Linked DNA regions of Sus scrofa. The protein of the gene in region 2 purifies or fractionates together with the protein of the main gene of each other region. This does not show direct contact. Links are inferred from orthologs where the notes say so. Each region holds a gene or a part of one and is shown on either strand. Other genes may lie near its edges.

The links. The genes of interacting proteins can lie anywhere in the genome.
Region 1: the proteins of POLR2H (region 2) and MED19 purify together in Homo sapiens (affinity purification with mass spectrometry; 3 studies listed by BioGRID and IntAct, with this or other methods). This does not show direct contact. The link is inferred for Sus scrofa from reciprocal best matches to the Homo sapiens genes POLR2H and MED19.
Region 3: the proteins of POLR2H (region 2) and WDR92 purify together in Homo sapiens (affinity purification with mass spectrometry; 3 studies listed by BioGRID and IntAct, with this or other methods). This does not show direct contact. The link is inferred for Sus scrofa from reciprocal best matches to the Homo sapiens genes POLR2H and DNAAF10.

What each region holds. Positions count from the first base shown.
Region 1 is NC_010444.4:13,239,210-13,244,627, reverse strand, and holds the start of MED19 (mediator of RNA polymerase II transcription subunit 19), read right to left. Parts: upstream 3,318-5,418; 5' UTR 3,189-3,317; coding exon 2,921-3,188; intron 1-2,920. Other genes in the region: TMX2 (thioredoxin-related transmembrane protein 2), read left to right, coding at 3,593-3,781. UniProt on the Homo sapiens protein: Component of the Mediator complex, a coactivator involved in the regulated transcription of nearly all RNA polymerase II-dependent genes.
Region 2 is NC_010455.5:122,249,825-122,255,178, forward strand, and holds the start of POLR2H (DNA-directed RNA polymerases I, II, and III subunit RPABC3), read left to right. Parts: upstream 1-1,804; 5' UTR 1,805-1,930; coding exon 1,931-2,003; intron 2,004-2,107; exon of another isoform or gene 2,108-2,146; coding exon of another isoform or gene 2,147-2,228; intron 2,229-3,224; coding exon 3,225-3,308; intron 3,309-3,380; coding exon 3,381-3,474; intron 3,475-4,544; coding exon 4,545-4,628; intron 4,629-5,354. UniProt on the Homo sapiens protein: DNA-dependent RNA polymerase catalyzes the transcription of DNA into RNA using the four ribonucleoside triphosphates as substrates.
Region 3 is NC_010445.4:74,083,119-74,088,449, reverse strand, and holds the start of WDR92 (WD repeat-containing protein 92), read right to left. Parts: upstream 3,318-5,331; 5' UTR 3,152-3,317; coding exon 2,969-3,151; intron 1-2,968. Other genes in the region: RNA-binding protein PNO1, read left to right, coding at 3,673-3,879, 4,099-4,248. UniProt on the Homo sapiens protein: Key assembly factor specifically required for the stability of axonemal dynein heavy chains in cytoplasm.

The sequences.
Region 1 (5,418 bases), on a different chromosome or scaffold from region 2:
AAGTAATAATCACAGAGTTCCCGTCATGGTGCAGCGGAAACAAATCTGACTAGGAACCACGAGGTTGAGGGTTTGATCCTTGGCCTTGCTCAGTGGGTTAAGGATCCGGCACTGCCATGAGCTGTAGTGTAGGTCGAAGATGTGGCTCAGATATGGCATTGCTGTGGCTCTGGCCTAGGCCAGCAGCAACAGGTCTGATTAGAGCCCTAGCCTGGGAACCTCCACATGCCTCCGATGCAGCCCTAAAAGGACAAAAGACAAAAAAAAAAAGAAAGAAAGAAAGAAAGAAAGAATAATCACTACTTTATTCTTAAACCATACACTTTGAAGTCTTAGGTAAAATTATTTGCTCAAAAACAAGGACCAGGAGTTCCCGTAGTGGCGCAGTGGTTAACGAATCCGACTAGGAACCATGAGGTTGCGGGTTCGGTCCCTGCCCTTGCTCAGTGGGTTAACGATCTGGCATTGCCGTGAGCTGTGGTGTAGGTTGCAGATGCGGCTCGGATCCTGCGTTGCTGTGGCTCTGGCTACAGCTCCGATTGGACTCCTGGCCTGGGAACCTCCATATGCTGTGGGAGCCGCCCAAGAAATAGCAAAAAAAGACAAAAAAAAAAAAAAAAAAAAATACAAGGACCAGGCTTACTCATCTCTCTCCTCTTCTCATCATATGTCTCCTTTATACCCAGGATTTGCCCAGAACAGATATTCAAGTGATTAATGTAAATAGGTACAATCAAAATAAGTTAAGGTTAAATAAACTGCTGGTAGACATCAATCACTAACTAAAGTCAAGTCAACCTCTCTATGCTTTAGTTTTTCAGCTTTAAAAAGCAGATAACAATGCCTATTTCAAGGGGCTATTGTAAGTATTAAACACTAAAACATATCTAACTGCACTGTGAATTTCAAGGTCTGTAACAAATCATTTCCCTCAGATATTTTTGGGCCATACCCATGGTACAAGGAAGTTCTAAGGCCAGGAATCGAATCCAAGCCGAAGCTGCAACCTATTGCTACAGCTGTGGCAATGCCAGATCCTTAACTGGCTAGGCCACAGTAGGAACTCCTTCTTCAGCTCTTTTTTTTTTTTTTTTTAAATCTTTACTCTCTTAGGGCTGCATTTGTGGCATATGTAAGTTCCTAGGCTAGGGGTTGAATGGGAGCTGTAGCCACTGGCCTACAATCACAGCCACAGCAACGCCGGATCCTTAACCCATTGAGCAAGGCCAGGGATCGAACCTGTGTCCTCATGGATACCAGTCAGATTCGTTTCCTCTGAGCCGTGACAGGAACTCCCCTCCTTCAGCTCTTGATGTAGCAGTAGGACTTGGGATGAACTAAATGTCATCCTGGAGACTTAACATGTCCAAAATGACTTGATATCCATCTCCTCAAACCTGTCCTTTCCTGATCTTAGCACTACCATCCACCTAATTATTCAAGCCAAACATTTCCAAACTGCCCTCAATTCCTCTGTCCTTCAATTCTATTTTCAATCCTGCATTCCTGTCAGTTCTACCTCTAACATTTATTTGGCATCCATTTACTTCTCTCCTCTACTGCTATTTCCTAGTTCAAACTATCATCTCTTTCCTGAACTACTAAGCTGTAACTTCTGACCAATTTTCCCACTTTTCTTCTTTTTTTTTAAGGGCAGCACCCAAGGCATATGGAGGTTCCCAGGCTAAGGGTCAAATCAGAGCTACAGGTGCCGGCCTACACCAGAGCCACAGCAATGCTAGAGCTGTGCTGCGTCTGCAACCTACACCACAGCACAGGACAACACTGGATCCTTAACCCACTGAGTGAGGCTAGGGATCAAACCCACAACCTCATGCTTCCTAGTCGGATTCATTTCTGCTGTGCTATGACGGGAACTCCCCCACTTTGCTTCCTTAATAGAGCTGCTCGAATGATTGAAAATAAGCAAATAAGTTAGAAGTTAGATCACTTCAGACTCTTGTGTCAAAATGGTTCCCCCTGAACTTAAAATGTCTTATAGAGGCCTCTGCCTACTCTCCCACCTTCATCTCCTATCGCTCTTTCCCTGTTCACTTCCCCGGAGTGCAAGTGGTTTTCTGTCCCTCAAATATTCAAGGTTATTCTCACATTGGGCCTTCTAATCTCATTTTTTGTATCTAGAGTTCTCTCTCCTCCCACTCATAAATGGCTAGCTCTTCCTTTGTGCTTATATTTTAGCTCTAATGTTATCTACTCAGAAAGGGCTCTCCTGATCACTCTAGCTAAAGCAGTTCTGCCCCCTCAATTCTTTATCACATTTCCCCCTTGTAGCCATAACCACTATCTGATACTATCTGTTTATCCGCAGATATCTGTTTATCACTCTTTGACTCCTCCACTGGCAGGTAAACTCCCAAACAGGCAAGGATCTTGTCAGTTTTGTTCACAGCTGTATCTTCAGCAATTGGAAGAGTGCTTGGTACACAGAGTGGGTGCGCAACAAAATAATTTTTTGAATGAAAGAACCTGGTTTAATTCTAATCACTTCTTCGAACACATTTTGAAACCCCGAGGCCCAGAGGAAGAAAGACAACATGTCCCAAACCAACAGGAAGTTTGAAGCAGATCTGGAACTGGGTCCGCAGGGATGTTAAATCAGGACCCTCAAATACCAAACTCAAAGCTAGGATAATCTTTAGGGAGTCAAAAACCAGCGTCAGGGGCAGGATCGGGCGTGAAAGGTGGTCAGGGAGATCCACTCTCTTCCCACCCCTAATCCATCCCAATTCCAATCATTCTTTCGGTTGTGAATCCTCAGAACCTCTTCTAGTATAGTGTTCCGAAATCGCGCCACGCGTTGCCTAGGTTACCCCTCACCCCAGTCGGAAGGCTGAGAGCCACGCCCCGCCTCTCCTCGCTATGATCTGATTGGCTGGCTTTGACCAGGCCTTGTACTCACCCGGCAGTTCCCGCATTAGGTAGAAGGGGCCACAACCGGCCGCTGACTTGTCGGAGCCGGGAGCGGCTGTGGCCGCGGTAGAGGGCGGGGCGGGGCCCGGCCCCCCGCCCGGAGGAGGAGGCGGTGGGGGTGGAGGTTTTCCAGGTCCGAAGCCAAGTGCGGTCGGGGGCGGTGGTGGGTCAGCCTGAGCTCCGAACAGCGCCGTGAAATTCTCCATCGCCTCCTCCGCCCCGGCGCTGTCTCGGTGTCTGGCGTTGGTGACGTTCATTGGTCAATCTTTTCACAGAGTACCGCCCTCCTCTTTCAGGAGCCTCTCACCATTGGGTTGCCTCGGGCCCTTCCTACCTTCTTCCTGCAACTACTTCCGTCGCCTTCTGAGAACGTTCCGGAAGTACTATTTAACTTTATTTAAATTCTCCTGTATCTCCTACTTGCCGCAGTCGCATATGTCCAATAAAACGATTTAGGTGGAAAAAAAGACAGCTAGATTAGCCAATAAAATATCAAAGCCCTTTCTCCATTTTTAACCTGACGCAGAAGCCAGTCAGAGATCTGCTTCCGGATCTAGAGGCGGTGCATCCGAGACTAGGCCCAATGGAAGCACAATGATGGGAGAGGCGGGACCAGGCTCACGGACTCCGTGGAGCGGCTGGCGCCGCTAGAGCCGGGAAGATGGCGGTTCTCGCGCCTTTAATTGCTCTTATTTATTCGATACCTCGACTATCACGATGGCTGGCCCGACCTTACTACCTTCTGTCAGCCCTCCTCTCTGCTGCCTTCCTACTCGTGAGGAAGCTGCCCCCTGTCTGCTACAATCTCCCCACGCAACGCGAAGACGGCAACCCGTGTGACTTTGACTGGGTGAGCGACCCCCCGCCTTAGGACCCCGCGACCTTGACACCCTGTCCTAGGTTGCATCTACGAGATGCGAGGTTCACCTGTTTGAGAACACCTGAGGTTCCCAACCTGTAGCGGACTTAAGCTATTAAGAATCTAGAGCCTGGGCGGTCGTCGAGTGTAAACCTCTTCACGTTTAAGATGGGAATACAGCGAGTTAGCCTGCCGGGGTCTTCTGACTCCTGAGTCCAAGGTCCTTTCCGTCTCACAATTCGTACCTACCCAAACGAGGCATCTGCACTGTTTTACAGTGCTGCTCTCGTTATGTAAAGCCTCTTGAGGAATCAGTGAGGTAAACAAGGCAAGTAGTAGTAATCTCGTTTCACTGATGAAGAAATTGATCTCGGCGTAGTTAGGAGACTTGTCCAAGGTCACACAACTAGTGAGTGGCTGGGACTTGAAACCACTCTTCTGGCCAAAGCAGCAGCACCATCAGTCATTTTAATTCAGTTAACAACTGCAGAGGGAGGACTGTATGCTAGGCACTGTGCTGCATCCTGAGAATGTAAAAATGAATAAAGTTTTAGGCCTATTGAAATGGAATTGTAAAAAAAATTCATTGTAAAGAAATCAATCTGAACTCTCTTGCAGTACTTCCTAAGTAGAAGTGGAAGGACCACTCAGAAAAATAAGATGAAGTTCTGTGCCCCCTTCTGTATAGCTGAATCTGTGTTACGAGGAAGGAGGGCCTTCCTGAGTTTTTGTCTTTTTTTTTTTCCAGGTCCCAGAATGAGTCTTGACTTTTGACAGAACTTACTTCCTTACTTTTATTCTCCTTCCCTTGTTTACTTTTTCGTACTTCCGCCGTTCTTTCCCAGTGTTATTAAGTAGCTCATGTATAGCTGTGGTGCTTCAAAAGATCCATTTGGGGGGCAGGGGGGCGAACCTGCGGGGTATGGAGGTTCCCAGGCTAGGGTCAGATCAGAGCTACAGCCTATGCCACAGCCATAGCAACGTGGGATCCAAGCTCTGTCTCAGATCTACACCACAGCTCAAGGCAATGGCAGATCCCTGACCCACTGAGCGAGGCCAGGGATTGAACCCGGATCCTCATGGGTACTAGTCAGATTCGTTTCCACTGTGCCATGACAGGAACTCCAAAAGAACCTATTAAGTAGGGACCTTTAACTATTTAGAGTTTATAGCTAGTGTTTGTTTTCCTGGAAAAAATCTTTTACTATTTCCTTGGTGATTTGGAAGTTAGAATATTAAGGTAAATAATCTTAGCAATAACAGGTAAACCTCAAAATTTCAGTGGCTTGGAGTTCCCACCATGGTGCGGTGGGTTGAGAATCCAACTGCAGTTCCTTGGAAGTACGGGTTCGATCCCTGGTCCAGGAACTTCCATATGCTGTGGGTGGAAGAAAAAGAAAAAAAGAGGGAGTTCCTGTTGTGGAGCAATGGAAGCAATCCAACTAGTATCCATGAAGATTCAGGTTCAATCCCTGGTCTTGTTCAGTGGGTCGGGGATCCAGCATTGCCATGAGCTGTGTTGTAGGTCACAGATGTGGCTCAGATCCTACGTTGCTGTGACTGTGATGTAGGCCAGTAGCTGTAGCTCCAACTCGACCCCAAGTCTAGGAACTTCCACATCCTGAGGC
Region 2 (5,354 bases):
GCCCCGGGCGGGCGCCGCCGGCGCAGCCTCCCGCTCGCGTCCCCTCCTCGGCGGGCGGGCCGAGGGCGGTGCCCTCCGTGCTGCTCCGCCCGCCGGCCCATCCACCGGAGCCGGCCCAGCCCGGCTGGGGTCCGCGTTGGGGCCGCCTCCCGGGCTCCGGAGAGGCGGCAGGGGGCGCTTGCAACGCGCAAGCCCGCGTCCCCTCTCCGCGGAGGCGGGTGGCTGAGAGGGGCGTCCGGGCCTGGGTGGGGGCGGGTCCGCTGGCACGTGGAGGGGCTGGGCAGTGTCTGCGGCTCCCCGCGTCCGGCCGGGGGCGGCTACCGAGGTCGGCGCTCAGTAGGACCTGGGGCTGCAGGCTGCTGAACCGTCTAAAGCCGACTTTCGGGCCCAATCTCTCTCGAGAGAGCGGTGCCCTCACTTGCTTTGCTGAAGGAGCCAACGGCTCAGACCGGCCTGGCAAGGCCCCTCTGCTCCGTGGGGGGTGAGAAACAGAACTGGGGAGACTCGGAGGGGGACGCTAGGCCCAGAAGAGGGGTGCTTGGAACTGGAAACTTCGGTTTCTCTCATCCCCCTTCCTTTCTTTGCGACTGTCCCGGGGAGGTGCACCTGGAGCTAGCTGGCCTGAGGCTTGTGCGTGGGTGGAGCCGGAGGGAAGGGAGGTCTAGGTGCTGGGGAGGCCGCTCCTGGGAGGCGGGCGTGGGGGGACAGAGGTCGCTTCTCCTTGGCAGGGCTGAAGAAGAAACCCGAGTAGCTGCTGACGTCTAGCTGCCAAGGGGGAACAGCCTGCTGGGGCTCTGCGTTCTCTATCAGGCTCCGGAGAAGAAAAGTGCAAAGGGTGGGGTGAACAAGTGTGGGGTGAACACAGTCAGAGATAGAGTCAGGGGACAGGCCAGTGCCCAGGAAAACAGGCATTGTGCAGGAGGAGGCAGTACCAGGGTGAAGGGGCAGGTGGGAGGCAGAGGGGGTTCCCAGGAGGGAGTGCCCAGGAAGGGGACAGTGTGAGAACCAGCACCCTAGAGGAACGGGCAGTGTAAAGGAAGAGGTGGTATCCATAGGAGAGGACAATGCCGGGATGAAGGAGCACTTAGGAGAACGTGTCCAGAAGGTGAGCGCAGTGGTGGAGGAAAGGCCAGAACCGAGCCGAAGGGGCAGTACTGAGGAGAGCAGTGTGATGGGGTTAATACCATGCTGAAGGGGCGGTGCGAGGTAAGAAATCAGGGGTGGGGAGGGTGCAGTACCAGAGGAGGAGACAGTGCAGACTTCCCTCTTCCCCATGGTGACATCATGGCAAATTCCCAAAGTGGATATCACCGGGTCGGGTGACATCCAGCTGGGCCCAGCCGGCCTGGGCCAGCCCGGGATTCCTCAGTGCCAGCTAGAAGGACTGGGTACGGCACCCTACTTGGCCATCGCCCTGGGGGCGTGGTTCTGCTCCGCTAGCCCTTTGCGCGGACTGTGCCCTCGGCAGACCCGCGGACCGACAGGGTAGGGCTAGGGCCAGGATTCTCTGGGCCAAGGATCAAGGTCCCTGGCTGGGGTAGGCCCCCAAGCACTCCAGTCTTCCTAACCCGGCATCTGAAGAGGGCGCACTAGAGCCTCCGGAGAGAGCGGGACACCAAGCCACCCCCGGCTGGAGGTGGGACCTATCGTGTTCCCGCCCTGGGAGGAGTTATCTGGACGTGAGACCGCCCTAAACACTGAAGCCTCTCGGAAGCAATCGTTCGGGGCGGAAGTTAAGAAGCCCCGAGAGCTAGGCGGCGGAAGTAGCTGCGTTACTGCTGGTCTGTGCGCATGCGTCCTTCTATTTCTTTGCTGCCGCTCTTCAGGCGCTGCATTTTCCTCTCTCATTTTTCTCCACGCGGGGCCGTGCCCTGCTCCGTAGTCTTCGTCACGCGCTCAGCACCTCTGCTTCTCTCGTGGCCCCCTCACCATGGCGGGCATTCTGTTCGAGGATATTTTTGATGTGAAAGACATTGACCCAGAGGGCAAGAAGTTTGACCGAGGTGAGTAAGGTTTGTAGGGGCGGTTTGGGAGAAGCGGCTGATCTCAGGGACACGCCCCTGGGCCTCTTGTCCACACATTTCATGTGGTCTTCCCCTACCGGCAGGTCCTGACCTAGGGGCCTCTCTCAGGAAACGTTTTATAGATGAGAAAACGGAGACTTCGAGCTCTCCCTCGCTTCACACATGCTGTGCCCGGTGCCTGGGTGACCTTTCTTCATGGTGCTGGTAACCTCCTTGGCATCTTTTTAATCGCTGCCCACTCTGCTAGGCGCTGTGCTGTGCACTTTACACACATTGCCTTACTTATTCCTTTCGAGAGTCTCCACGAGGTAGGTGGTGTCTTACCCATCTTCTGAGAGGCTGAGCAACCCACCCAAGGCTGTACAGCAAATAATCCGACCTCAGGGCCTGTTGCCCTCAGAGTCTTAGCTCTTTGTGAAATCCTCTCTAAGAGTTGACTGCTTGGTATACACCTCCTTGTTCTGACGTTGATCAAGAATTATTTGTCCTTGGTGTCTCTTCCTTTGCTTAGAGACTGAGATATTCTTCAGAACAAACAGCAGGTGTTTGTTTGTTTGTTTGATTTTGTCTTTTTAGGGCCAGACGTAAGGACATATGGAGGTTCTCAGGCTAAGGGTCGAGTCAGAGCTACAGCTGCAGGCCCCACACCACAGCCACAGCAACGCCAGATCCAAGCCCCGTCTGAGACTTATACCACAGCTCACAGCAACACCAGATCCTTAATCCCCTGAGCTGATCCTTAACCCACAGAGTGAGGCCAGGGATTGAACCCCCATCCTCATGGATACTAATCAGGTTTGTTACCACTGAGCCACGGACAAGACCTCCCCAAACAGCAGTTCTTAATAATCTCCTTAGCACAGCGCCTGGCACGGAAAGGCAAAACCTTTGGATGACTGACTTGCCCCAGAGCAGGTTGTTTCTTAGTCACCCATGCAGGCCTAGAACGTGATATTATTTGTTGCCAGAGGACCTTTGATTCTTTTCTGGGCATTCTGTCCACCAGCCATAGTTTTCTGCCTCTTTGCTTGTATATGTGGTTCTTATTGAGCCTGTACTTCTATGAGAGCAGATGAGAGGCCATTGGATACAGATTAAGTATTCTGTGCATACAGTTTCTCAAAGTGGGGTCTGCCCTGCCCTTGAGGGTCTACTTGGCCAGGCAGTTACCTCTGCTGCTCTTTTTCTGTTTCCCTCCAGTGTCTCGACTGCATTGTGAGAGTGAATCTTTCAAGATGGACCTCATCTTAGATGTAAACATTCAGATTTATCCTGTTGACCTGGGTAAGTGTTGAACACAAACAATAACAGCAAGTGTTTTTGCATTTCAGACTCTGATATTGCTGTTATTTTCAGGTGACAAGTTCCGGTTGGTGATAGCCAGTACTTTGTATGAAGATGGTACTCTGGATGATGGTGAATACAACCCCACAGATGATAGGCCTTCCAGGTGAGGAAGTACTTGAAATATGCCTGAGGACTAAATAGATAAGTAGTACAGAAAGACCCTTAGTTACTTCATAGAATAAATGTTTATGAACAGAATCTATGTAAACTTAAGGAAATTGCCGCACTTAATTCAAACAGGAGTTCCTGTTGTGCCTCAGTGGTAATGAACCTAACTAGCATCCATGAGGATGCAGCTTCCATCCCTGGCCCTGCTCAGTGGGTTAAGGATCCGGCGTTGCTGTGAGCTGTGGTGTAGGTTGCAGACATAGCTTAGATCTGGTGTTGCTGTGGCTGTGGTGTAGACGTGTAGCTGCAACTCCGATTCTACCCCTAGCCTTGGAACTTCTATATGCCTTGAGTGCGGCCCTTAAAAAAAAAAAAAGACAACAACGAAGGATACAAACAATGAGTTCTCTGGGAGCTCAGCAGGTTAAGGATCTGCTGTGGCTCGGGTTGCTGCTGTGGCCTGGGTTTGATCCCTGGCCTGGGAACTTCCTTGTGCTGTGGGTGTGGCCCCCCCAAAAAAATAAATAAAAGGGAGAGTTCAGACATCCAGGTGTTTATCCAGAGCAGTGATTACAGCATGAGTTGCAGCTTTTTGGGGGAAGGGGGGCATGCCCACAGCATGCAGAAGGTCCTGGGGCCAGGGATCGAACCTCTGCCACAGCAGTGACATTTCCAGATCCTTAATCATTAGGCCACCAGGAAACCTCGAGTTGTAGCTTTTTGATGGCTGAGGAAATGACCACTGAATGACGTAGGCTGTGTAAGTCTTGTGTCTCAGGAGGGAATTTTGTGTGAGGAAAGGCTTTAGAGCCCCACTCAGTTCACATCTCATCTCTATCACTTATTTGTTGAATAACATTTGACTTCCTTCAACCTTAGTTTCTTCATCAGTGAAATACCTACAGTTATACCTCGCTCACAGGGTTGCTGTCGGGACTAAATGATGTGATGTTTGGAAAGTGCCTGTTGTTATGATGTTGGCACTTAGTTATCAGTTACCATTTTTAAAGGGTCTCTTATTATTGTTGACTGTGTATAACAATAACTGCCACTATTGTTCCACAGGGCTGACCAATTTGAGTATGTAATGTATGGGAAAGTGTACAGGATTGAGGGAGATGAAACTTCTACTGAGGCAGCAACACGCCTGTAAGTTCCATGGTCTTGTGAGAATCTTCTCCCCCTTCCCTTTTGTGAGAATCTGGACTATGCTCTGAAAATTTGGGCCAGGCTCAGGCTTCTTGGGTCTCTCTCCCCAAGCACCTTAGACCTAAGCAGGACCTGGAAAGAAGCTGTTCTGGGAACAGTTTTCAGTGTGGAATATAAATGCCCTCTGTGAGGACCTCAGGGCCTGGTGGTCCAAATGAGAAGCTGGTAATCTTGCTGTGTGAAAATGCAAAGAAAGATTACTTCTCTAAGAACTAAATGCAGCACAAGTGATTAAACTGCTAGGCTTCTGTGTGTGTGTGTGTATGTTTTGCCACTCTGCAATCCAATCTCTAGTAGTTCTTTGGTTTTTCTGCCCAACTATTTTTTCTCTTCTTTAAAATCTTATTAAAACAATATGTGCCCTTTGTAAGAAATTTGAAAAGCATAGGAGTAATGTGAAAGGAAAGGAAAAAAGTCACCTATAATTCTATACCCAGAAGGAATTTTTTACATAAACATTCTTGAATATTCTAGGTTTTTTTTCTGTGTACTTTTTCTTTGAAATCATGTTGTTTATTACAGTGTTTTGTTCTGTTCTTTTTGCTTAATGTTATGTAAAACATGTTTCTTTATGTCTTTAAATATTACTAGGGACATTTTAATAGCTATATAACATTTCAATAAATGGATATATCTTAATCCATTTGGTCATTTCACTTATTCTGG
Region 3 (5,331 bases), on a different chromosome or scaffold from region 2:
TCCTAATATTTTGACAAATAACTCATCTAGCCCAATGGCAGTCAACCCCAGCACACATTAGAATCACCTGGTGGAAGTTTAAAAAATACTGATGTCCAGGCCTCACTCTTGTCTAGAGGCAAGAATCTCAGTGCATCAATTTCTAGGGATGCGGCCCAAGGCATGAATATTTTAAAACACACACATTATGTACCCAACAATAGCAAAAATACACATTCAGATGATCCCAACACACAGTAAGAGTTGAGGATCACGGAGATTGTACTTAACCTACCTTCTTTTTAAACTTTTTAAAAATTTTATTTTATGGCTGCACCTTTGGTGTAAGGAAGTTCCTGGGCCAGGGGTTGAATCTGAGCCATTGCTGGGACGTACACAGCAGCTGGGACAATGGCAGACCCTTTAACCCTCTGCACAGGGCCAGAATCAAACCTATGACCTGAGCTTCGAGAGTTGGATTCTTAACCCACTGTGCCGCAGCTGGAACTCCTTAGCTATATTCTTTTCCCTTGCATCATCACAGCCAAATACAATGTAAGCTCTGAAATTTGTGTACTTGCTTTTATCCTCTCTTTAGAAAATAGGTTCTTTAAGAGAAGGGGCTCATCTTTCAAATAGTTTTGGCCCTTCTTTAGCATAATACCTTGAAATGATAGGTTCTCAGTAGGTATTTTCTGGTAGAAAAAGAGAAGAGCCAATGACAAAGGTGGAAATAAAAAGTGGTTAATCCTAAGAGCCAATGACAAAGGTGGAAATAAAAAGTGGTTAATCCTAGTTATGGGTGACATTAACTTTTTTTTTCCCCAAACTATATTTTTGGTATGTTTATCATGGACACATATTACTTTTGTTAAAAAGTAAAATTATGGAGTTCCCGTCATGGCGCAGTGACTAGAACCATGAGGTTGCAGGTTCAATCCCTGGCCTCCATCGGTGGGTTAAGGATCTGGCGTTGCCGTGAGCTATGGTGTAGGTTGCAGAGCGGCTTGGATCTGGTGCTGCTGTGGCTGTGACGTAGGCTGGTGGCTACAGCTCCCAATAGACCCCTTGCCTGGGAACCTCCATATGCAGAGGGTGCAGCCCTAAAAAGACGAAAAGACAAAAAAAAAAAAGTAAAATTATCACACACACACAAAAGAACAACCTGCTAGAATCCTCCAGAATCTTTAGAAGAGACAGCACTTTTTCTCTTTACAGAACAAGTGTCTTCCTGAAAGACAGACAAGTCATACGGCCTTATATAAAAATAAAAAGTCACAAGTCTGTAATGCTGTCTGGTTGAGCTTTGATTGGTATTTATTCCTAATACTTCACCTTTAAGTTTCTTTCTGCAATCCCAATGTCTCCTATTTGTTCAAACCTCTGGCCCAATCGATTAAGGACCAATAAACCAATATTTAAATGTCCCAAGTTATATCCTTTTACAGAATAAACTTACTCTTTCAACAAGTGATTTAGGAGTGGCTGCTCCTTAACATGCCATACTAAAGACAGACCCTGTCCTTACTCTCCAGGAGCTTACAATCTAATTAGAGATAAATGGGTCAGAATGATCTATTTCTGGCACAGTTAATAAGTACCGTTGGGAATGCGATGTAAAGAAAAGTTGCTTTTGCGTGGATCAGGAGTGGATGTCATTAACCAGGTAATCTGAACTGGATCTTAGAATAGCAGGCGACTGGAGACTAAGTGATGAGCCACACAAGGAAAAGTGGAAAAGAACATGTTTAGGAGAAGAGCGCCTGGCTAGAAAAGACAAACATAGCAAGAAAACTGGCGTTCCTAAAACATGTAAAGCTTAAATCTCATCTCTGCTATCCTATAAAAATTGTACTCATCCTTTGCCTACCATTTTAACCTCTAACTCTTCCATGTTGATTCTCTCCACAGCTTTGGACCCCTGGAATTACAGATTTCTCTGTCGTCTTTAACAATGCTAAACGTCTGAGTACGCTATATCATTTTTCCTTCATGCAACCCAAATCAAGGCATTTTAAAAACTGTAAACAGGTATAAACATGCTAGTTAATATTGTCATTCTCCAACTCCTTCACTAGAAATCTTTACAAAACTTGTAAATCTGACCTTGCCACACCCACTTAAATTAGCCCTTCATTGATGTCCCATTTTTTTCTTAGAAAAAAAGTATAAATTTTGTAAGTGACCTACAGATTTTGCAACGTCCCTGCTTACTACTCTTTTTGTTTCTAAAGGAGACACTCTCTCTCCCATCGCTGGGCTGTTTCCTCTGAAAATCTCCACTACTCCTAGTTGGGCCTTGTTAGCTTCTACTCAACTCAAATCTTTTTTCCTTTGTTTTTTTTTTTTTTCTTTAGATTTGTATTTATGTAGCGTTGGTTTGATTATTTAACTGATTCTCTCTCTTACTAGAAAATAAACTCCATGATATCCAGGACATTGTCATTTACATGCCTGGGAATACCAGGCAATCAACTGATACTTGCTGAAAGAATAGCTATGTTTGGTTGCTTCCTCCAATTACATAGCAGGCATCCTGGTGTCCACTTTGACCGTTTGTATGAAAAAGCATTTTACTAATTTGAACCTATTAACAGGCTCTGCACAAATAAGTGTGCCCTGCCCCAAAGGGCCCCAAATTTAAACACGAAGACGGAATGTCATCCCCAAGGACCTCTCGCTGGACTGGGAGGGTGGTTGGGGTGGCTGGAGGAAAGGACCGACAAGGCGCGAATGAACTAGCCCGCCAAGAATTCAGAACTAGAACCAAAGTATTGTACATCGCAAGTATTCCTCAATCTGCGTTCAAGCTTCGCTACTCCCACGCAACTAGAAAAGTGCTTTGGGGGGACGCTGGACATAGGATTTGGCAAAAAAAAAAAAAAAAAAAAAATGCAGACCACCCACACCACCCCTGCCCAAGATACACACTCGCCCCCCAAGAGCAGGCCCAGATCTTGGCACTGGGCAGTCTCGACCGGGTACCCACCTCCCGAAGCAGCTTTAGGTCCCCGTGCTGGATCTCGTACAGCTGAATGACGCCGGTGCCCCGCGCGAAGTTGCCCATGGTCACAAACTTGGCGCTGCAGGGCACCCACTTACAGTCGAATACCGTGTAGTTGAGGCTCTTCTGTATATGGGCGATGATCTGAGGCTTCTCAAAGGCCGACATGGTCCACCTGTTGGATTCCGCCTAGGCCACAGGCACACCCCCAACAAACCATGACAAAACGCTAACCTGGAAACCGGAAACCAAACGTTAAGAACAGTTGGTCCCTCCCGTTTGCCGTAAGCGCCCCTGTCGCCCTTGGAAATTGGGTTTAGATGTCTTTGATAATGCCGGATGAGCAACCGAAGACACAAGACTTTTTTCCCTCACCGACAACACAAGCTTGTTTGTAGCCTTTACTTAAAACCTTTAGTATATATTAGAGATAACTAAATGTTCTGGCTGCTAGTTGGCGTGGGCAGAGGGCGACCATAAGAATCAGGCATATTTTAGGACAGCCCTTTCCCCTCCCAATAAACACACACAAAATCTTGCTTCAGGTCCCTTGCGTGGACGTCTTAGGAAAGAGGGCGGAGCCCTGGGGCTGGTTGGTGGAGACTGGGGTCCTGCGAGACGCATCTGCGCGGTACAGCCCCGCACGTGTTCAAGCCGGAAGCTCCCGCTGGGGCTGGAGAGTCCTGAGGATGGAAACCCAGATGGAGGCTCAGAGCCCCTTAGCCGAGGACGGCTTCACCCAGGTCACCCGCAAGGGTAGCCGAAGGGCGAAGAAACGGCAGGCTGAGCAGCTGTCTGCGACGGAGGAAGGAGGGGGCGCGAGCCACATGGACACGGAAGAGGCTCGGCCGGCGAAGAGGCCCATCTTCCCTCCCCTCTCCGGGGACGGGTTCTTGGTACTGGCGGGCACTCACGAACAGGAACGGGGCAAAGCAGAGGCCTGGGGACCCTGTGGCTTTAGGGTGATGTAGAAGCTTTTTATGGCGTGAAGGTTTTAGAGAAGGACTCTCCTGATGTTTAATTCGTTCAGTTGAAGGATGCTCTTTGTGGATCAGCTGTCAGTTTACAACTCCGCCCATCCGACGACTCCTGAGTTGTGTTTTCTTTTATTGTAGAGTGGGAAAGAAGAAACTAGGAAAATTCCAGTTCCTGCTAACAGGTACACGCCGTTAAAAGAGAATTGGATGAAGATATTTACTCCTATTGTGGAGCATTTGGGACTTCAGATACGCTTTAACTTGAAATCGAGGAATGTAGAAATCAGGGTAAGGAGAATGTTAACCATTTTTAAATATACTGCGGTTTCTCTCACCTGTGGGTATGAAAAGGCATGAACCGACTTTCCTTAGAGGGGCTTATTTTGTTAAATGATTTTTTCCCAATTTTCTAATATTTTAGTATTTGAACCTCTCAAATGCTTTCAAAATCTACACTCAGCGCAGATATTAGTCCAATTCATGAGTTGGGCCTGAGATCATACCAAAATAGTAGCTATGTCTCTTTTTTTTTTGAAGGGCTGCACCTTGGCATTTGGAAGTTCTCAGGCAAGGGGTCGAATTGGAGCTGTAGCTGCCAGCCTACACCACAGCCACACCAATGCCAGATCCAAGGTAGTCCTGCGACCTGCACCACAGTTCACGGCAACACCAGATCCTTAATCCCCTGAGCAATGCCAGGGATTGCACCTACATCCTTGTGGATACTAGTCCAGGTCTGCATATTTTTAATAATCTGTGTTGATTAAGAAAAGGCTTAATAAAGAGCTTGTCATAAACAGAAGTATGTAAGTAATCAATGAAAGTACTTGCTATAGTATCATATTTTAGTGGTATTTTTTGAAAAAAAAAAAGTACCGATGATAAATTTAAGTTATACATACGTGTATTTATTCATTCATTCCTTCCTTCCATGATGTCAGGCTAGGAGTTAGGCAGTAGGGTTTCATTTTGTTTTATTTTGTTTTTTCTGAGTGCCAATTTTGTTTCAGAATCAGTGACCTAGGAATTCCCATCATGGTACAGTGGAAAAGAATCCTACTAGGAACCATGAGTTTGCAGGTTCAATCCCTGGCCTCACTCAGTGGGTTAAGGATCTGGCATTGCCGTGAGCCGTGGTGTAGGTCGAAGACGTGGCTTGGATTCTGCATTGCTGTGGCTGTGGTGTGGGCCGGCAGCTGTAGTTCTGATTTGACCCCTAGCCTGGGAACCTCCATATGCCGAGGGTGCGGCCCTAAAAAAAAAAGCAGAAAAAAAAAATCAATGACCAAAATTATTTGTCTTTTTAAGGATTCATCTTAAGACTCATTTCTGTTGAGGGACTAGAATAATAAAGCAGAGAGGCCCTGTTTT